Drosophila melanogaster: one gene and its partner. The protein of the gene in region 1 purifies or fractionates together with the protein of each later gene. This does not show direct contact. Each region holds a gene or a part of one and is shown on either strand. Other genes may lie near its edges.

The links. The genes of interacting proteins can lie anywhere in the genome.
Region 2: the proteins of CG8026 (region 1) and CG6683 purify together in Drosophila melanogaster (affinity purification with mass spectrometry, with the first as the bait; one large-scale study listed by BioGRID). This does not show direct contact.

Annotation. Positions count from the first base shown.
Region 1 is NT_033778.4:9,186,933-9,198,236, reverse strand, and holds the start of CG8026 (uncharacterized protein), read left to right. Parts: upstream 1-6,140; 5' UTR 6,141-6,488; coding exon of another isoform or gene 6,489-6,635; 5' UTR 6,636-6,807; coding exon 6,808-6,961; intron 6,962-7,890; exon of another isoform or gene 7,891-7,967; intron 7,968-9,016; coding exon 9,017-9,170; intron 9,171-9,228; coding exon 9,229-9,583; intron 9,584-9,971; coding exon 9,972-10,117; coding exon of another isoform or gene 10,118-10,223; exon of another isoform or gene 10,224-11,102; coding exon 11,103-11,262; 3' UTR 11,263-11,304. Other genes in the region: unpg (unplugged), read right to left, coding at 2,069-2,903; CG45085 (uncharacterized protein), read left to right, coding at 6,489-6,635.
Region 2 is NT_037436.4:8,509,659-8,520,687, forward strand, and holds CG6683 (uncharacterized protein), read right to left. Parts: upstream 5,264-11,029; 5' UTR 5,190-5,263; coding exon 5,042-5,189; intron 4,984-5,041; coding exon 4,538-4,983; 3' UTR 4,216-4,537; downstream 1-4,215. Other genes in the region: Pus7 (pseudouridine synthase 7), read left to right, coding at 427-545, 606-793, 855-1,226, 1,282-1,384, 1,444-2,866; CG6765 (uncharacterized protein), read left to right, coding at 5,431-5,507, 5,726-6,792, 6,855-7,408, 7,542-7,600, 7,658-7,759, 7,814-8,000; GstO3 (glutathione S transferase O3), read left to right, coding at 9,296-9,323, 9,854-10,551; se (sepia), read left to right, coding at 10,932-10,959, 11,016-11,029.

The DNA.
Region 1 (11,304 bases):
GAAAAATGGCTATTCATTTCAAATTTGATGGGTTTTGGCCTTGAAATTTATCCCAAAAGCGGTTCACATTCCTCAATGTGCAAGCCATTAAAATATGAATTTTATTCCGAATAAATAACAAGAGATATACATTTAACTACATTTTGAACGGATCCATTTAAGAAAATCGAACTTTGAAATGGACTTAACTAAACTTAAAGTGTATCAAGAGTTTAAGTTAAGACCAAACACTGACTTCACTTTTTCTTTGGATTATATTGTTATTTTTCCAAATTCCATTCCCTTTTGTATTGTATCTTTCCTGAGATACTGAGATACATCTTCGGTTGAGTGCAATCCCATCGTTCAGAGTCACTCTAACACATTGTGCCGAGCAATGCCGCCTCGGTCCAGCCCACATCCTGGCTGATTCTGTCCGGACTCAAGACAAGTCGCTTGGAGCAGCCCCATTAATGGGGCCCTAACGAGTTCGGACTTCTGGTGCAAATGGCCCGTGCCACAAATTGTGGCAAACATATTTATTTATAACTGGATACATGTGTCTGAAGGCTGCCCTTCATGCAGAAGGCATGGAATGCTCGAAACATAATCTGCTTGTTTTGGGTGGACTCAAGTTGAGCGTGCCAGCCAAGTGTCAAGTGCCAAGTGCCCGATGAGTCCTCCCAATTCCGCTACAGCTCCCACTCCAGCTTCCACTTCTCTTAATTTTGAGTACATGGTTAAGCGGTTTTTAACACTTACACGCTTCAAAAGTGCCCGCTGTCACTGATTTATCTGCCCATTTGGACGCCTGCCACCCTGTCGCCAGTCACCCACATAGCCACCCCCATGTCAGCCACCCCCACCCACAAAGCACACCATTTGCGCCCACTTGCGCTCAGTTATGAATATATTAGTCGCAAATTTGTTGCGCTCTTTGCTGCTTCGCTGGCAAATTGATTGCGGCACGGATGGCTCAGTTTCCAGTTTCCAGACAGGCAGCGGGGGATCCGGATGATTACGTTGATGGGAGAACGCAGTGCCATTCCATTCGAGTGTCCAAATCGCCAAATCGCTACGATTGTCAAAACGTCAGCATTCCGTTTCCAGTCACTCCGCTTTGTGGCTTTGTGGTCGACGGGACGACGAGTGGCGTTTCTGGATCCCGAAGTCGGAGTTGTGAAAACTTTTCACTCCGTGATTGACACCGAACACTGGGTCTTAATGCACTCTATGCTAATTTGATTATGACGTGGCAGGCTCAATTTAAATTACCGTGACAACGCCGCTCGACAAAATGAGCCACCGCAAAACTGGACACGATTCGAAGGGGTAAATTATGAGTACTAAGCTCAAGAAATATTTGTATTTGCTTTTGATTTTAAAGAGTTTCTCATTTCGCTGAACGCATTTAAGAAGAATGAGGAACACAACAGGACTACATTTGCATATCGCTCTAAATAATATTAAAACATACTTTTTAAACGCAACAACGAATGTTAGCCATCATAAAAAGTGTATATAAATATTTTAATATCATATTATTTAGATAAATCCTAAGGATTGTCGAACGTCTAACCAATTGGCCAATTTGTACCGCAATTTATTTCCTTAACCCTTAATTGGTAATTATTAATTGATAATTAAAACTAACGTAAAGTGATAATTAAAACTAACGTAAGAAATTCGATGCCCAACAAATTTTAGTCGGTGTAATTACTAATCACCAAAGCAAACGAATAAAAGTTTAGCAAGTATTTGAAAAACATACACTCTTTTCAAAGTGATGAGCTATTTAGTGATATCTTAATAAGTTGAGCAAAATTTAACGATATGCATTAAACAATAGCTTTATATTTATGCAAAAATGCTAACTATTACTATTGTGTCTTCTGCAAACTATAAACTTTATAGTATAAAGGACTTAATAGTTGTAACCATGGCTAAAATGGCTGCAAAATGTATCCGTAAATCTTAAAACAATTGCCGACAAGTTCTAAGATAAAGATCAACCAAGAACTATATCGAATTCCCCAAACATCTCATTAGTATAACCACATCCCTGAAAGATTGATTGCATGGTACCCACCTCCATTGCGGCTCTTGTCCATCTCGCCGTTGTAGTTCCTGGGCGACATGGTCAGGCTAATGTCACTGCAGGAGTCGCCGCTGCACTCGAAGTCCTCGTCCATGCCCACATCCAGGGCCGGTTCCATGGGACTGTGGCTGCCGGACTTGGCTGGCGAGGAGTGGGCCTGTGGGGGCGTCGGCTCCTGGAGCTGCGCCATGCCGGGATTCGCTTGATCCTCGTGCATCCTGCCGGCGGCGGCCATGTGCTGCAGTCGAGCGTGGACACTCAGACTGTGCACGTAGTCCTGGTTCATAAGCTCGGCCAATCGCCGGTAGCTGAGATCCGTGGGCGCAACTCCGGCGGCGGCGGGATTGAAGGGCAGGAAACGCGTATCCAGCGGATGCGGCAAGGTGGGTGGAAGCTGTTTCTCCAAGGCATGTGTTGGTGGATGTGGTGGTGGTGGTTGTGGCTGTGCCTGTGCCTGTGGTTGCTGTGCAGCAGGATGACCAGCTGGACTGGAGGGCAGGTAGCAGCCGCCGGCAATTAAATGCGTTAATCTCTCGTGATTCTGAGCGAAGTAGCCGTGCAGCCAGGGATTATAAAGCGGAAACTGGGTGAGTCCCAGGGCCGAACTGGCTACCATGGCGCGGGCACTCAGCTCCTGCTCCTGCTCTGCCTCCTGCTCCTGGTCCCGCTCCTCGGGCGGCGATGGTGGTGTGGCAGTGGCAGGCGTTTGGTTGGCGATCAGACTCTCGATCGAGAAGGGCTTGGGAAAGGGCTTGCTGGCCAGCCTGGTAGTGGGCGATTCCATGGTGCCGATCTCTCCGTTTTGCAGCAAGGCCGGTCGTTCCATATTGCCCACTCAAAAGCACACTTTCAGGGCGATCGAAACTAACTTCTTTCTTCTAATTTCTCAACGCGTTTCTGTTCCCGAGCAGACACGACGCAGTGAACCGTTCAGAGATCTGCGAGCGACTGTCCAAGTGCAGCAGACATCACGTACGCGTACGGCACCCAAGTCGAAGCCCAGAAGCCCAGAGGCGCCGAGCAACCACCACCACGGATGGTCTGGCTCCTCCTCCATTTCAATATGGCGCATGACAAACAGCTGGTGTCTCTGTCTGGCGCGCGCTCCCATTGGCCAGCTGCTAATTGCCGGGTGGTGCGGACAGCGAACCAGTTTCCGGCAATGGAGCAGCACCACTACCACCTCCACCACCGCCCGCGTTCCCGCTCCGTAATTGCGTTCTGCTCGAATCGCTCGGTAATCAGACATCGCCGGACTGGCGAAGAGAACGCCCTGCCATTAATGCCCCATCTTCGCCAGCTCCTTGGCCATTGGGGAGTACTCCCGCCGGCGGAGGACGGAGGATGGAGGATGGTGTTCTCGCGAGGCATATTAGTGACCAATTTAAATTCAAATGTCAGTTGCCAGTGGGTGTGACTGCTGGGCATCATTAGCAGACACTCCAGTGTGCTCAACGATTTGTATCTGCAACTTAGGTGCATATCTATTAGTCTACGGATATCTGGTTTTAATTATCTAAACATACCAGTAAACAGCTCTGTACAACTATTAATTTTAATTGGTGGTGTTTGAGGTATTTAGTTGGTTCTTAAGCGCACTAATATAGATTTTAAGAGAGTTTAATTGAAAGTGACATCCGTAACAGGCAGAATTATTCAAAGGAATACTCGTATTTCTTGGATGGTAGCAATCGCTGATAATTTAATGACCCCTAATTTATTGCAAGGATTAATATTAACAATGATTTTTTGTAGGCCTGATATGCCAAATTAAATATTTTATATAACTCGTTTTAAAGGTAAACAGGCATAAATACCTCCAACAAGTGTTATTACATAGGGTATATATACATACATAGGTTATACAAAAGTACGTTTATAGTATCCACAAAATACAGACAACAATCCATTGCAGTCGTGACCCCCACCGTCCCCAAGAAGCAGATGGATGGGACTACTGTTTCCTACATCCGCTGTGGACAAATCCACATCCGTTCCCTGATTCCTCGATTCCCCCGAAGCACCCACAATTGATATGCCGATCGTTCTTCGCGCAGCAGGTGGCAATAATTTGCATGTGTATGGCTTAATTGATCGTAATTGACCAAATTTTTGGCCATAAGTGACGAGGCGTCCATTGATTGGAGCGCAAATTGGCATTGGTCACGTTTGGGTGTTTGAAATCTTTTACGAGCACCGAACATTGCGAACATTTAACCGATTCCACAGCGGCATAAATTACAATACAATTATGCGGCTCGTTGATAATTTTGGTTTTCTGATTATGATGAAAGCTGTTGGGTTTTGTTCGGCACTTTGGCAGCTTGTCAAGAATCAGCAGGGATGGGCGGGGATGGATCCTTATAGACACTGTCCGCCGAGTGTGGGTAAATATTTCTGGGCAGCTTCCCTTCTTCTGACGGCGGAAAACGGGCAAATTAACGAATTGCAACGAAGCGTTGAATGCGCTCAAATAAATCAGAGCACTGTTGACACCATCATCATTCCTCATCCCCGGATTCGCCAACCCCAGTCCGTGGTACCCCAATCCTTAATGCGCAGTCCCCAATCCCAGTGCCATGTGCAGAGGGCGAAAGATACATCTCTACAGATACTCTCTTTCGTTTGAGCGAGCGCGTTTTTTAGATTTTTTTGATTGCCTGCAGACGGAGAACAATTCGAAATTATTTACTGACAAATCGTTGCGAATTTTTGGCATATTCCTGAAATGCACAGAAATGCGCACACTGCACAAAACGAACACAATTAAAGCTCTAGCCATACGTATAATGAGATACAAAAGTATCTGCAACTAAGTACCTCGAATTGCTCGCTGTCTGCGGTCTCTAAATTATATCGTTCGACTAATGAAATTAAAATTTCATGCCATTCGACGCAATGTGAAGGCGAACATGTGTTCCCGTGACCGCAGAACACGGAGCTACACGGAGCATATAGTCATATAGCTGGAGCTGTCCGATGTTTGCCCAACATTGGACACGCCCCCACTCAATTTGCGGCGATACTTCGGATCCGGCGGATGCCTACTGCAGTTGGTAATTGTGTCATTTTACCCCTTCTACCCCATCCATCTAGCCATTATTGCGCATACATACATACCTCTATCCTGGCCCTTTCCGCGACCTGTAATTAAGGACCTCTGGCTTATGCCAAATTGTTTACACAATTTAATTGGAATATCGAAGGTAAATTACAGTTGTCGATGCTCGTTTGTGGGCAAGCATGGTTTATTCAGTAATTAGCGGGTCATTCGATTGCATGACCACTCATTGAATATTCCATATTCCATATTATATTGGTGCTGAATACCTTTGCATGGGAATTAGTCGTATTGACTGCCTTCGTAGGAAAGTTATTCGAAAATTAATTGGGTTTCTATCTACTTAACTTTTCCTACTCCTTATTTATCGACCTTAAAATGAGTTTAAGTCTTAATATTTAAGGATTTGATTTGTTTCGGTTGTATAATTAGTATCCTAATTATTGGTGTTTTTCCTTTAGTCTTTGTACAATACTCAATCAACATTTTTTTGTTTGCAAGTAGTTTGTAATTTTTTATAATACTCCTTAAATTTAATTGACTTTTGCTAAGGATTTCTATAAGAGAGTGGCACGGCTATATGAATATGGTGTACTCTGATAGCCAAGTTCAAAATTATTATGTCTTCCTACCAAAATAAATGTAACTAAACAACAAAAAAAAGTAATGTTTGACGATTAGGTAATTTTATGCTAGATTTTTGGGAAGAAGATAGAACATTATATGTCTTAAAAATAGATTTTTTTCTATAAAACCGGAATTATCTAATATAAGCTTAAAGAGAGATGAGATTACATAATAATTTAATTAAATATTTAATAATTATTTAATAACATGTTTAATGACATACTTGAGTAATATGAAGCGGAAATACCTATTTTTATCAAGTGGTGTGAATATGACATTTTGAAATTCGATATGATGTACATTGGTATTTATTCTGCGGCTGGATGGTATTTTTATTGTTATCGGCCCTGGCGCACATATGGTAACACTGTGCTCAAAGTCGATTAGTCGTTTTTCGTTGGAGAGCTTGCTGTTCGCATTTATCCGCCTGCTCGCGCGTAGAAAAGTTGTTACTTAATGTTCATTGCTGCCACACGTGCTTGATTATTAATTGCAGTGCGCTAATCAGTCGCTTGTCAGCTGAGCAGACCACAAAAAACGAAGGCAATTATTTAGGCTGCCCTTTCAGTTCGGCATTACATAAGAAACGAATGGCCAAACGAAAATAATTTTGAAACAATTTCGGAGTTAATATTGCATCAGCAATTCTGAACAGCAGATACACAAAAAGGGCAGCAATTTGGCCAACAAAGTCTTCATAAACGACAACAAACGAGTGAAAATATGAGCTGGGCAACAACAAAGCAAAGGCACAAATGTTTCAACTGTAGCAGCGGCAGCAACAAAAACAACCGGAGCAGCGGCAGCAGCAGCAACAACAACAACTGTGCGCCTAGCAACAAGATAATTTCGACGAGCGATTTCCTTTGATTTGCGCCCATCTGTGTCGAAAGCAGCCGAAAAGCCAAAGAGTGTAAATAGCACGTAGTTTTAGTACAATTCACTGTAGCAAAAGTGAGTTTCAACCGGGGCAGCCAATAAGCCTGCGATAGCAACAATAATACAGAACGAGCGCAAAAGAAATCACCAGAGATTGCACAATATGAATCCGATCAAGGCACAGTCAACGGGCAGTCCCAAGAAATTCAACGTATTCGCACACGTCAAGTACGAGCATTTGGTTGCCGGAGTATCCGGCGGAGTGGTGTCCACACTCATTCTACATCCCCTGGATTTGATCAAGATTCGATTCGCAGGTGAGTCATCCACACGCCTCGGGGAATTCCACGATTTCCGTGAGCAAGCAGTAGTACACTAATATAACATCTTATAGGGAAATATATTTGTTGAATAATCCAAAATGCCAGTGCTCTAATTTAAGTATTGTGTTTCGCAATATGGCTCTGTAATATAGGCACCTTTCTGATTAATCTGGGCTTAAAATAGAATACAAAAACTATACCTATTAAAAGAAAATTGTCAACTGATAGAGAAAAACGTATATGTCACCATAGGAACTAGCACTACGTATATTGCTGTGTAGTAAAGAGCACTCGGCACGTGCGGGGAAATGCCGCCAGTCTGGCTGCAGATTATTGTTGCACTTTACTCGCCGCTCGCGTTTTGTTTGCGCAATGCTTTACAAATTTTCCATGGAAAGTTTGAGACGCTACTCGGGTATCCGAGAATTCGCACTTGATTTTTTTTTTTGTGCACCATGGAAAATTTGAGAAGCCCGTGTAGTCAAGTAGTGACGTGCATGCTTTCGCACATAAACAATGCTGATGAATGGGGCCACGGGCACGTGAAAACATAGTTTTTCCTCAATGCGATAGAAAGATGAAATTTATGGTTGTGTTGACAATTGTGTGTGGAATCTCAAATTGGTCTAATCTGGATTTTGCAGACAGGAAACGTGGGGCAACAGCAGTTCGAATTGTTTACTTGCTTTTACTTTTATGCCGCCTGGCCAAAGATCGATACAAGCTATCAACCTTTGATATTAATGGCTATAATATGAGCCATCAGCTTACGCAGGCCATTGTGTTTATGACTATTTGCTGAAAACTACTTCTTTGTAGTCAATCTGAATCATATGTTTGGCCTCGTTTGCGTTTCATGCGCAAAATACATGAACAACATTTCCGTATAGTCTGCTTCGGGATACCAAAACAACAACAACGAACCGAGAGCGGGTTTCTTGATTATTAAATATTGTTGCCGTCCAGTTTGCCCGGATCAGTGCTAAAAATCGTTAACGCAGTAAGTGAATATGTAAATTCACCAGAAAAGTGGCTTGTAAACAATAACAACCAGCACACGAGTTGTTTATGCGAATTAAAGTCACACCATGCGAGTTTTGTGAACTGATAAAGCGAACCCAAGTTGGGATGGTTAGAAAATCCAGAGCTAGTGGTTTCGCCGCAATGAACCTCCTTGAATCCGGTGGCTTCTCGATTTGGCAACAGCTGTTTTCTATTGACTTGCGCAAGGCCTTTATGGCGATGACGCATTTTGGCCAAACGAAACCCGTTTATCTTGCTTTTGATTTTCTGCTCTTGCTCGTTTTTAATCACGTGACCACTTGACTCGACTGTACATTGCAATGGCTTTGTTAACGGCAACTTTCAGCGGCAACTGTCCGGTTTATGTGGCACAAGCGCCAGTTCCAGTGGCTAAAAACGAGTTCCAACTGTTGCCATGCGGGAAGTCGACTGATTCAGCACTCTGCGACCTTATCGCTGCGACTTTATCGAGTGCATGTCGAAAAACTCTTTACGCTGGCCAAAACCAATGTGGTTGCTTAGTCGTAAATACCCCAAAAGAACTTGCCTCTTGGGCTGTCCAGTCTCCTTTCAAGGTCACCCATGAGGATGCTATAAATAGTCTAGAAGCGAAGACGAGCCCCTTTCTTCTGCCTGGTACTGTTGTCAGGCCAGATCTTATGATTGCCCAGCTCATATAGAATATGTCGTCCCATATAAATAGCTAAGTATCTGCTAATGGGCGCGAAAACAAGTAGAGTGGCTGATTTCGACGCTCCCAGCTTATCGCATCCGCTGGCAATTAATGCTATCTATCTGCTTTTGGCGAAAACAACTTTGGCCACGGGCCTGGACTTGTTGGTTTCGGAGTCAACAACTGATATTCCCGTAGACGTACAGTTGCCTAGGTGAAGAGCAATACACACAATATGACGCATTCGCCGGCCCTTCAGTGACAGTATCCATAATCATAATCGTGCCAGACCCAAGGCTGCAATGTCTAGACATGTTTATCATTTACGAGCGTGATTCCTTCTCCACTTGCAGTTAACGATGGCCGGACAGCTACGGTGCCGCAATACCGGGGACTGAGCAGCGCCTTCACCACGATTTTCCGGCAAGAGGGCTTCCGCGGACTCTACAAAGGCGTCACCCCCAATGTCTGGGGATCGGGCTCCTCTTGGGGCCTGTACTTCATGTTGTAAGTACTTTGCTCTACTGATAATGGTAACAAACCTAAATGTAAATACTCCCTTCAGCTACAACACCATTAAGACATTTATCCAAGGAGGAAACACGACCATGCCATTGGGCCCCACAATGAACATGCTTGCAGCTGCTGAGTCGGGAATTCTCACCCTGCTGCTGACCAACCCCATCTGGGTGGTGAAGACGCGTCTCTGCCTGCAGTGCGATGCCGCGAGTAGTGCCGAGTACAGGGGCATGATCCACGCCTTGGGCCAGATATACAAGGAGGAGGGAATCCGTGGCCTGTACCGCGGCTTTGTTCCCGGCATGTTGGGCGTCTCCCACGGAGCCATCCAGTTCATGACCTACGAGGAGCTGAAGAACGCCTACAACGAATATCGCAAACTGCCCATCGACACGAAGCTGGTGAGTAGGCAGATCACAAATGACCAACCCATCACATGACCAAGCTGCGCGTGGCGTTGACATCGCCTATATACTAAATTGGGTGAACAGATGCGGTTAACTTAATAGCACAAAATTATTACTTATACAAATAACAAAATACTTTGAAGTCTTTAAGTTTAATGCGTAACGTTCAAAAATTGAAAATCTATCGAGTACTTTTTTTTCAATTACTTTTTTCGTTAGAAGACTTTCTTAATCAGAAAAATATTTGTTCGCTTTGTTATATTTTGTGTGACCACATCTGTATCTGTATCCGAATATATCTGGTTGTGATGACGTCTCCGCCATTTGGCAGCCATTCAGCTCATTCTGTTCGCCTCACTAATGTGTGCTCCCTCACCCACAGGCCACCACCGAGTACTTGGCCTTCGCGGCTGTCTCCAAGCTGATCGCAGCGGCGGCCACCTACCCGTACCAGGTGGTCCGGGCACGGCTGCAGGACCACCATCACCGATACAACGGCACCTGGGACTGCATCAAACAGACTTGGAGGTACGAGCGCATGCGAGGTTTCTATAAGGGCCTGGTGCCCTACCTGGTCCACGTCACGCCCAACATCTGCATGGTCATGCTGATCTGGGAGAAGCTGACCAGCTAGATGGAGTATTAGTACTAGATCATCGAATCTGGAATCTGACAGAGAATTTAAGCTAAGCACCTAGAATACACGAATCTTTCTCGTTTCCTCCGATGTGCAGCTAACAGCAGAAAATGACAAACTTATTCTGTATTATTGTTGTAACTCGATTTCGGTTTAGCCCTAGCACCTTACTTTAGCCTTAAGTGTATTCCATATCTAGTTTATTGTACATCCTTCACTCCCAACTTCGAAAGTAACTGATGTGATCGGGGCGTCGTCAAAATAGCCCCTGCCCATGAAATGTAATTTCAAAAACGCATTTCTTGCACTCTTCATCAAAACAAACACATATTTAGTTCTTAGTTTAGTTAAATTATTTATTCTATAACGGCTTGGAATTGTGTAAGCACAAAGAAAAACCAGTTACTGTTTAGTTGATACAAAATTTCGTTTTGGCAAAAAGATTCTTCATAGTTTTTGAAAATGGTTTATAATTTTAAGGATAAACCTTGACATTTATGTAAATAAGCATAAACGCATTGTGAAACCAACTTAGTCCTACAGTGGAACAATCTTATTGAAATCAAAGAAAAGATAAGAAATGCGAAATTACTTACCCATATTAAAAGGCCACGATGGCAGACCTAAATGAAAACCAAGAAACAAACTAAAGCAAACACTGTCAGCGCGTCCAGCCTGCGTCTTTTCATTTGTCCAAGGGCTCATGGCAGCTTGAGTAAGTAGTCCTTGCTCCTTCCGCTCCCTAAGTCTTCGATCACCCCCTTAATTGTGCAGAATCTCTTTGCTAATCTGAAACAGCCAATGCGCCCTTACTGTAAGTAGATGTAGCTTTCAGTTCTCAGTCTCTAACCGCATTGTGTTTGGTTCTCTTTGCAGGTTTGAGGGCTACAGAGGCTTCTACAAGGGGCTGAAGGCGAGTTTAACCCGAGTAGTGCCTGCCTGCATGGTCACCTTTCTGGTGTACGAGAACGTCTCGCATTTCCTGCTCGCCAGGCGGAAGCGAATTGAGACTAAAGAGGATGCGTCGGACGTGTGATTTTCCTTTGGTTGGATTCCTTTTAGGCTTCTAAGATACATA
Region 2 (11,029 bases), on another chromosome or scaffold:
GGCTTAACCTAATGAATTAATCCGTTCCAATTTTTGGTTATTTCTCAATTTTTACACTTCTTTCCAATGCTTCTTTGTATTGCACATTTTCTTTACATTACGTACGCAGTGTGAACTTGATCTGGGACCAGAAAAATACCAAAAAATACTGAAGTATAAATGAGGAAAATATACTAACAAAAGTTTTATGATATGTTAATATTAAGCATGTTTTTAAATTATATTTATCATACAATATAAAAAAAGAGGAATATTTGCGGATGAACTTATGCTAACAACCATTTAAGAAATCTATTTCCCGAATAAATGGCACATGCGGCCACCCTAATAAACCTAAAAAGCTTATTGTGAATGGGCACATCATATGTTGTGCAAAACGTGGATTTCATTTGCCGACAAATTTTCAAACGCGAATTTTGAACCAAGATGGGCAAGGATCGGGGCAGAGGACGTAGGAATAACCATTCCGGGCCATACAACAAGAGCAACTGGCGTGGTCAGAAGAAGGATCGCCCCCAAAACAATGGTGGCGGTCAGCGCAACAGGTACAAATTAAATCCCATAAATAATATCGTTGTTAACCGGCGTTTTTCGTTGGACAAAAGTGCTCCACAACAGAAATCCACGCTGCTGGAGACCCAAGTGGGCATTACGGAGTTCACTAACCCGGAGGCACCTGGCTTCACGGGAATACTTAAGTCTCGCTTCTCTGATTTTCACGTGAACGAGATTGATAGCAATGGAAAGGTTCTGGAACTGAACGATCTCAGTGTGCCTAAAGTGGCTATTGTGGGTCTGTATTCACCAATTATCCTGCATACTTGCTTATGCTCATGCATCTCATACTATAACAGCTGTGGCCGAAAACGAACTGGACAACTGGCGGAAAGAACTGGAGGCAGTAATCGGCCCGGAAGTTTGGCAGGATATAGCCAATCTGGCTAAGGCCAAAAACGATCCCGCGATCGAGCAAAAGGTGGAGATTGATGTGACCACTCTGGATAAGGAGCAGCGAACACAAGTCCACCAGATGATAAAACAGCTTTACAAGGGCAAGCTACTGTCCACAACCATTGGACAGCAGCAGGCTAAGCCGAAGGTCCAGGAGGAGGCATCTTTGGAAAATAAGGATGCGGCTGAAGGTGAAACCTCAACCCAGAAAGACTCACAGGTGCCGGCAGAGGAGAAGAAGACTATAAAAGTATTTAAACCAAAGCCAGGACGCGGTTAGTAGAAATGATTACCCAGGGAATTCCTTTTTTTATGCATCGAATTCCATAGGTGACAAACGCTGGAGCTTTCCGGCGGATTACGTGACCTTCCTGGTGCACAAAACCAATTTGGTTACCAGCGATGTGGCCTCTACTTTAGCAGCGCGACTGAAGTAAGTTTGATCAAATTTTAAATGCTTTAATATACTAAGAAAACATTATTTTTCTACAGCTTACGACCATCGCAGGTGAACTACAGCGGCATCAAGGACAAGCGGGCCAAAACCACCCAGAAGTTCTCCGTCAAGCGTCGTACACCAGAGAGCATTTTGGTTGCAGCTCGCTCCCAACGGAATGTTCATATCGGCAACTTTGGATTCGAATCCAATACACTGAAGCTAGGCGATTTGCAGGGCAATCGTTTTCGTATTGCCTTGCGACACATTGCCAAGGAGAAGCGAGAAGAAATCGAGCAGGCACTGCAATCATTGAAGGAACGCGGCTTCATCAACTACTATGGCTTGCAGCGGTTCGGCAACAGCGCCAGTGTCCCAACCTATGAGGTGGGTGTTGCTCTGCTCAAGCACGATTACAAACTGGCCTGCGAACTGATCCTGAAACCCCGGGACTCGGATGTGGAGTTTTTGCGTCCCATACGCGAGGAGTGGTGGAAAAATCGCGACTCCGCGGCGGCAGCTGCACAGATCTACGGCGAAAAGTTCATCGAAAAGAAGCTGCTGGACGGCTTGGCCAGATTTGGTGAATCAGATTACTCATCAGCTCTGCGGCAGATACCACGCAACATGCTCATGCTATATCCACATGCTTACCAAAGCCTGATCTTCAACAGGATAGCGTCTAGACGAATTAAGGAGTTCGGCTTGAAATTGATACCCGGGGATTTGGTTTATGTGGAGCAGGATCAGTCGGAAGCCTCGGAAGAGCAGGCGCAGCAGGGCGAGGCCTTGGAAGAGCAAAAAGAAGAGGAGCCTAACGATGAACCTCTGGAAGTCCCCGAAGGGGATGAAGCCATCGAAGAGGAGTCGATTTTCAAGCGAAAGGTTCGCCCGCTCACAGCAGAAGACATCGCTAGCGGCAAGTACAAACTTTGCGATGTGGTCCTTCCCCTGCCTGGACACGACATCACCTATCCCAGCAACGAGTGCGGCGCGTGGTACGAGGAAATGCTCGCCGAAGTGGGTCTTTCCTCGGATCAACTGAAGCACAAGGAGAAGACATACGCATTGGCTGGCGCCTACCGCAAGATGATCATATCGTCCAGTGATCTCAAGTGGAGCTTTAGAATGTACAATACGCCGGAGGATACACTTATCGCCTCCGACTGGGAGCTATTGAAGAACATTCCGGTTGCACCAGAACCAGCTGAAGCTGAGGCCAATTACATGGCACTCCTGCTGGAGTTCTCGCTGCCCACGGCTGCCTATGCCACCATGTTTTTGCGAGAACTCTTAAAGCAGGACACATCGTCAGCATCGCAAACGCAGTTGGAGAAACAGGCAATGGCTAAGGAGGACAATGAAAAGAAGGCGGTAGGAACCCAGGAGGAACAAATGGAGGTGGTAAAGGAGGTGGCCGACGAGGATGGGCAGGAAACTGAGCAGGCGGAAACTCAGGGGGCCGAGGAGGCGGTGTAGGCCAAGTGAGATACCGAAAATCAATATGCTCAGGAAATCAATTTTACGCGCGCTTCGTATCCAACTTCGAACCAACCACAACAATAACAATGCGCACGTGAGGACGAGGGCTGCTCCCTCTCTCTCTCTCTCTCACTGTCGCATCCCGTGGCTCGCACCCCGTCAATCTCAATCGCTCTCTCTCTCTCTCTCTCTCTCGCCTGGGAGAGTCCTTTTGGTCCTGTTTCTTTGACTGCGATTTTATTCGTTCGGTGGCCACCAACGCGAAAGCTCAAGCGACGCGCTGCGCAGTTTCCCCAGCTCAAAAGTCCAAGTCGCACGGTTTTCCCCAGCGTTCTCAATGAAGAGCAATAACAAATTATTAATTGACAACAAATAACGAACAAGCACGGTCCCCCAAAAATCCACGGACTCCATCCAATTCATCCAGTGATTTAAAGAGATTTTAAACCAAATAAAAAAACCAAGAGGCGAGACAAGGTGAATTTCCAGTTAAATGTAGCATTTAAACGTTTTGGGCGCGTACTTTGAAAATCCATTTATTAAGGCGTAAGTATACATTCGAGTCTACAAATTGTTTATAACTTTTACGACAACACTGAACTAAACAATCACAGAACTGTACAATATTTGATTTTGGCTCTGGCAGCCTATTGATTTTTGTTGTGTGCTTGTGCTGGAAATCAATCGATAATACGGTGTTAATACCAAGAGCTGAGTCCGGGGATTGGGAATGGGAATGGTCTAGTGGGTAGGTGGCTGGCCGTAGGAGTAGTTGGTTCATATAGTGGCTTAGTGCGTCGGAGGGTTCACCATGTACGTGTGAAGTAAGGGGGACTCAGTCGGTACGAGGGGGTAGTGGTAGTGTGGCATCAGTCGTTAAGGGTGCACGACGCTCCTCGCTCGTTATGTTTTTGTTTCGGCCCACTGCTCCCCCTGCGGCAGTCGTCAAATTAATAAACTAAATGCTTGTTTTGGCGTCGTCGTCGCCCTGTCCCCGTGCTGGAGGCCTTCCCCCGATCCGATCCAGACATGGATATTGGACATGTTATTGCTTGCGCGCGCATTCTTTGACTCTTTGACCAGTTCCCAGCAGCAGCTGCGTCATAGTAGGAGTTTTTTGGCGTGGCTCAATTCGATTTTCCCTCGCCTACTCCACCTGCTCCCCGCCCGCCTGTTCAAAGTTGGCTTTTGCCACACAGATAGCTTCCTACTGCATTACTATACACTCCCGCAAGTCTCTGGCTCTATAAATGACCTCTGGCGACAATTGATGCTTTGTTTGGGGTTTACCAGTTGTCTTGAATTTTAAATTGCTAATCTTAAGCCTCAAATAAAATAAACTATTTAATCACAGGCGTGTTAATGTTTTATCATATCATACAATGCAATAGTTAGTTTGTATAGTAAACTTCATTAGATGCGAAGATTAGGTTAAATGAATGGATTAACAATATTTTTTAGGGAAGCATACATTTGGAAAAAGAAGTTATTTAGTATTCGCTTAAGATAATTGTCCAGATATATAAACTATAACAAAAATGACTTAATTATTAAACAATTATATGATCAGTGATGTTTGCTACTTTTGATATCCTATCACGGCATGTATGTATTTAACTTATCATCATGGCAATCTTCCTTTATAACTATATCATCTTGGCAATCTTCCTAAATAACTATATCATCGATTTGCTCGTCGTTCAGGGCGCGCAGATTGCATTTGCATAGGTAGGCCAGAATGCGTTTCTCCGCCTTAATTCGGTTTGCTTCGCCCAGTCCTTCAAGCAGGGCTTCTATCCTCTTTTCTGCTTGAGCCACTGGCGTTGCATGGGCAGGATTTGTGGGTGGTGCTGGTGCAGCTCCCGCAACGGCCAGCTGCTCATCCATGGCCTCCTGGAGCGGATCCTCATCATCGTTGACCTCGTCGCTGGATTTCAGTGTGCTCCTACTCAGATCACCCGAATTTCGGTGATTAATCGGATGGTGGTGATGCTGCAGGAATTTCAAATGCGGCAGAAGACTCCAATCGGAGCCAGTGCCTCCGGCCTTTTCTTTGGCCAGCTCCCGACGCTGTTTGGCCACCAGATGATTCCAACGACTGACACAGGCACTAGCTAAGTTAAAATATAATGAGGAATTAGGGAATATTTATACAATTTATCAGTTTCTTACCTTCTGAATTTAATGAAGTGGCGATGCTGCTCCAGATTTCCGGATGTCGCTTCTTATGCGCTTCGTAGGGTGCGTTTCTAAGTTCGCGCTCATAAAGCTTGGGATTAGCCCTAACCAGCTCAATAAGTCGCGTGTCGAACTGCGACATTTTGATATTTTCAAAATAAACACAAATGAAAATATGTAAACAAATGGAAGCTAGCGAATAAGTATGACCGTTGCTTCGTGTGAGAAATATGCTGTCACAAGAGCATGGTGGCTAAACCCTCTATTCACCACTCCTTGGGTGGTGTGGTGGGATCGGGAGATTCAAAATAAACACCCCACTGGCGGCATTTATTGATTTATTTATTGATTTTATCGTTGTACAGGAGCTGCCGGCCGCAGAGATGGCCGCCGAAAACTATCACCTTAAGTGGGACTCACACCTCACCTATCTTAACTCTTCCATAGCCACACTTTATAAGTAAGTACCACTGTACCATAGTTGGTACATATTTGAAGTTTTTTGTTTTTTGTAATTGTGATCTAGCAGCGTTTTTAATTGTTTAATGTTAAAAACATTAAATGTATCAGGGTCAGAGGATTAAACACACATTTTCTAAGAACCCTTCTTCAATATTCTCCAAGAGTACTACAAAATACGTAGATATGCTATATTAACGCATCATATTTCCCCTTTAGGAACGAAAAGTTCGCCGATGTGGTTCTGTACAGCTCCTACAACAGCAGCGGCATCCCCTCGGATATACCCACAGTGGGCATCTCGGCCCACAAGTTCATCCTGAGTGCTTCGTCCCAGTTCTTCGCCACCATGTTCGAAACGGCACCGATCACCAATCCCAATGGAGTGCTGTATGTGGTCCTGCCGCCGGATCTTAGCCATCGCGCCATCCAGATCCTGGTTCAGTACATGTACAGCGGCGAGGCCACAGTTTCCAACGACATACTTAACGAGGTCCTGCGCGGCGGTGAGATCCTCAAGATCCGTGGCCTCTGCCGCACCAGCTCTTCCAATGGCGGTGGATCCGGCTCAGTGGTCACGACCACACATCATCCCCATTCACTGGCCGGGCATCTGCATCCGCGAGAGGCTAGCACCATGTACATGTCGAATGGCACTCGAACCGCTTTGCCGCCCCCTCCGCCGCCGCCACAATCAACCATGTCGGCGCAACTTCAGGGAGATCTATATGCCAGCAAGCCGGGTGGATCGACACGTTTCGCTTTGGATCACCACCACCTGTCGTCACACCACAGCCACCTGAATCACCATAATCCCCAGCAGCAGTTTCGTGGACTTGGTGCCTCCGTGATGCCCAAGGACTCGCCTGTGATCATTAAGTCACCCAAATTGGCCGCCCACACAGGACTACTAACCGTCGCGAGCAGCAGCAAGTTGGGCATTTCCGTCAACAAGGAGGTGGCCATCGATCCGGAGGACAAATGCTGTTTCGCGGCACCCGGTCAGTTGGAGTCGCAGTCTCACCCACCACCACCAACCACCACAACGACAACAGTAGGAGGAGGAGGAGGATCAGTTGGAGGTTCAGGTGCCCCGCCATCGCAGCCCATTTCCATTTGCACGGAGGTGGGCTGCAGCAGTTGTCCCCTGACCGCCGGACCAGGTGCTGACCAAGCGGAGACCACGCTGCGGCGGACAGAGTACGAGGAGCAGGCACTTCGTGAGCGGAACGAGGTGGGCCTGGTCTTCGAGCGACGTCTGAGGAGGGAGAGCGCATGCGAAAGATGTGAGTAAGAGTACTCAGCACAGCTGCTAATGATGACTAATCCCATGTTTTATTCCCCTCAGCTCGGGACTACTATGAAGCACCACACTTTGAGCACGTGGTATCCTCTCGCCTGGCAGCCACACCTCCGCCACCACCACAGCAGGCACCACCATCACATCCGCCGACCCTTCGACATCCGCACAACTTCCTCACCATCAAACAGGAGCCGACCGACTGGAGCAACAACCCACCAAACGCCTCCAGTGCGTCCAACAACAACAATCTGGAGGAGTTGCCATTGGCTTCGCCCAAGCAGCCACTCGACTTCAAGATGTCCGCCGTGAAGCTGGAGGTGAATAGGGATCGCGGAACACCCTCCGAGGAGAGCGAGGAGCACACGCTGCGCGACTATAACAACTTCAAGCAGCTGCTGGTCTGCGAGATCTGTCAGAAGTCCTTCGAGGACACCAAAATGCTGGTCCGTCACCTGGGCACACATGCCGGCGATCCCACGGGCGGCACGGAGAGGAATCTCCTGCCATCCAGTGCCAGCGGGAGCACCACATCCGCCTCCAGCAACCTCGCCCTGCGATCTGTTAAAACCTATGTGCCAAAGAAACGACGTCGCGTTTCGGTGAGTACTTGGACAGCAACTCATCCCTTTAATAAATCCAAATCTACTGAAGTATGATTTTAACTCGTAGTGATGATCGGTTACCAATATCTATTGGATGTATTAAAACCAGATTATATATTGTGTTTTTCAGCAACAGGAGAACAATATGGATCACGATCACGTAACTCTGCTCTGCGATTTGTGTTCCACGTAAGTGTTTGGAGTTATAGAAGCAAAATATATACTAACTCCCTTTCCCATGTGCAGATCCTTTGATACGCCGGCGGAGTGGGTGCGCCACATGAACAGCCAGCACACGGAGATCGAGTTGGCCATGTTCAACAGCAAGAAGGATGGCGAGCAGAAGGGGTGTGTGTCCTAAGGGCTAGCAAAAGCACACTGATGAACTCTGTTCACTTGCAGCCAGCAGCCACCGCCACCGCCGGCGACCAGCAGCTCTTCCACAGTGTCCAACAGCCAAATGCAGCCAAAGTATCCCAGCTCCACCGCCACCAGATCGACGCACTCCCTCATGCTGCACAAGATGAGCAACAGCGATGCAGTGGCCACAACCACATCTCCTGGAGCATCCACCTCACCGAATGGCTAAGGCCAGCCATAGGGATCAACTTCAAAGAACCATTGGACCATTGGCGAATGAAGCTGAAGGATTCGAAACCGGATGCCCATGGATAAATTTGAAAACAGCCATATTCTTCATTCATTTTCAAAAATCTCAAGTCGTTCCAATAATCAAAAGTGAGATGGATGTTTATATGCAACAGCAAGAACCGTGATCAAAATGCAACCAGTTTGCATATTTTATAGAGCAACAAACAAAATACAAATTGCGAACAAAAAAAAATTAACGAAACTATAAACGAAACTTAGAATGGAAATCGTCAGGCAACGATGCAAAACAAGACAAAGCAAGAAATTCAGAAACGAAAGCAAAGCAACATTTAACTCCAGTGTGTAGAATTTTTTTAAGTGTACGTATTTACTTAGTTTTAGCTATTTATCCCATGTATTTACCGTAACAACAACGCGCAATTGATTCGGGAAAAAAAACGATACAGTTTAATCATTAAATTTTAATGTTTACCATTTGCGGACATTTTTAAAATGAATTAAAAACTAAAAATTAATCATCCACTTGAGTTTTCAAAAGGATGCATCAAAAGAAATCCCATTTGTAGGACCAAAAGCAGCGAAAGGATCTTTTTACATTTTGATAAACAATTAATTCCAGCAGCAAGTGTAGTTGTCATTATTTATTACTTTCCAATTTGGTTTTTCGAATGCAATTACTGATAACAACTATTTATCGCGACTCAATGATGTCAGCAACTCTGTTGTATATGTATTAATACTTTTTTGTATTTTTTGTAAGGCATGAACGGAAATTTCGAGAACTTTTTTGTACATAGATTAAGTTTGATTTCGAAAGTCCGCCGATCGAAACTTTTTACGAAAAGTTCATAAACTTAAAACTCTAAATGTACGTAGTAGTTCCGAGGTTCAATTAAAAACAAAAATAAAGCTCCCCCCAAACCATGTAAAAACAAAATATATCTATATTTACAAACAGGCGTGATTATTAACAAACTAAGTAGATGTACTATGTATAATGCGGAGGAAATGATTGTCTCTTCCCACAAAACAAATCGCAAATGTAGTAAAGCGTTTTAAATCGAAATAAACGTCTGCGATGAGAAATCGTTTTTAAAAGCTAACGAAAACTAAGAGTCACGTCGCAAAAAGCTCGATTATTCTTATTCGCGTTAAAACACAAACAAAAAACTTTATATAAACAGAGCGCCGTCGAAGAGAAAACTCAGTTCGCATTTCACCGTCGACATTTCAACAGTTAAGCGAATTTGTTCAGTTCTGCAATTAAACAAAATGAGTTCTGGTAAACATTTGGCCAAAGGTAAGAGAGCAAGCAAAACCAGTTGTCGCCGCCGCCAAGAGAAACGCCCATGTCATTAGAGTGTTTATAGTATTATTTATAAAACAAGTTCTCCAACATTCAGCGTAATTATCGAATAACGATTTTTATATTTCATAATGTTAAAGAATATTGGCATGAATAACTGGGATTTTTTGGTTAAAAAGTTAGAAAGGTATATTATTTGGTAAATTTCAATACGATCTTTATTCTTTTACAATTGTAGGTAATGCATTAAATTAATTATTTGATTTGTAAAATTTACTTACATTTTTAGCTATAGCTTTCACCCCGATATCAGATAACCCATAATATTTACACTCTAAAAGATAACGTAGCTACAAAATTTGAGCTTTATCACGACTGGGCCCTATCAACATTAACTTAAGTGCAATGACTTGCTAAACAAATAATAATACAGGGGTGGATTTTAGGGTTCCACAAGTGACTCATGAAGTTATTGATTTATTTGTATAACCTAAATTTAACTGGTAAATAAATTCTATCTTTAGGTTCCCCCAAGCCTGTACTCCCTGACGATGGAGTCCTTCGCCTGTACTCCATGAGGTTCTGTCCCTACGCTCAGCGGGCTCATCTCGTCCTGAACGCCAAGAATGTGCCCTATCACAGTGTCTACATCAATCTCACCGAGAAACCAGAGTGGCTGGTGGAAGTGAGTCCGTTGCTTAAGGTGCCTGCCCTGCAGCTGGTGGCGGAGAAGGGTGAGCCCTCGCTCATCGAGTCGCTGATTATTGCCGAGTATCTGGACGATAAGTACCCGGAGAATCCGTTGCTGCCCAAGGACCCATTGAAGCGGGCACAGGACAAGATTCTGCTGGAACGTTTCAGCAGCATCACCAGTGCCTTCATAAACATCCTTGTGCAGGGCACCGGTCTGGAGGATTACTGGACGGCACTTGATATCTTTGAGGAGGAGTTGACCAAGCGGGGCACCCCATATTTTGGCGGCAACAAGCCGGGATTCGTGGACTACATGATCTGGCCCTGGTTCGAACGCCTCTCTGTAATCGAGTTGAAGTTGCAGAAGGAGTACAACTTCAACGAGAGTCGTTTCCCGAAGATCACCAAGTGGATTGCCCTCCTGAAGGCGGACTCGGTGGTGCAGTCCTTCTATGCCACTCCCGAGCAGCACAACGAGTTCTGGCGCACCCGCAAGGCCGGCAATGCAAACTACGATCTGCTGGCTTAGATCGGTACTGAAAATGAAACTATTATATAACAAAGGAGATTTAATAATGTTCTAAAAACAATAAAAACTAAAATATTTTATGTGACAAAGAAATGAATTAAGGCTAGAAAGGCAAGAATTCCGTTCCAGATTCACAGAACGTGGTTCGAAAAACTTAGTTCTTAAAAAGTTTTGTTTTAAACAAATATTTTGGAGCAATATGCAGGTTGCAAGGGGGCTTCACTGTATCCACATGGCTTGGTATGTGTGTCAGCCGCAAGCCACCAAGTTCAGCCGCGTAAGCGAAGCCAACCGGCGAAGGGCAGTGAGCTGCACTTTATAAATCACTCGAATGACAATCGCTATCACCACTTGCATCTCTGGACCCGAGCACGCACATCATGAGTAACGGCAGGCATTTGGCAAAAGGTGGGTAGAGCCAGGAAACCAGGATAATCATAATTGATAATAAATGCGCCCACTAGGCTCACCCATGCCG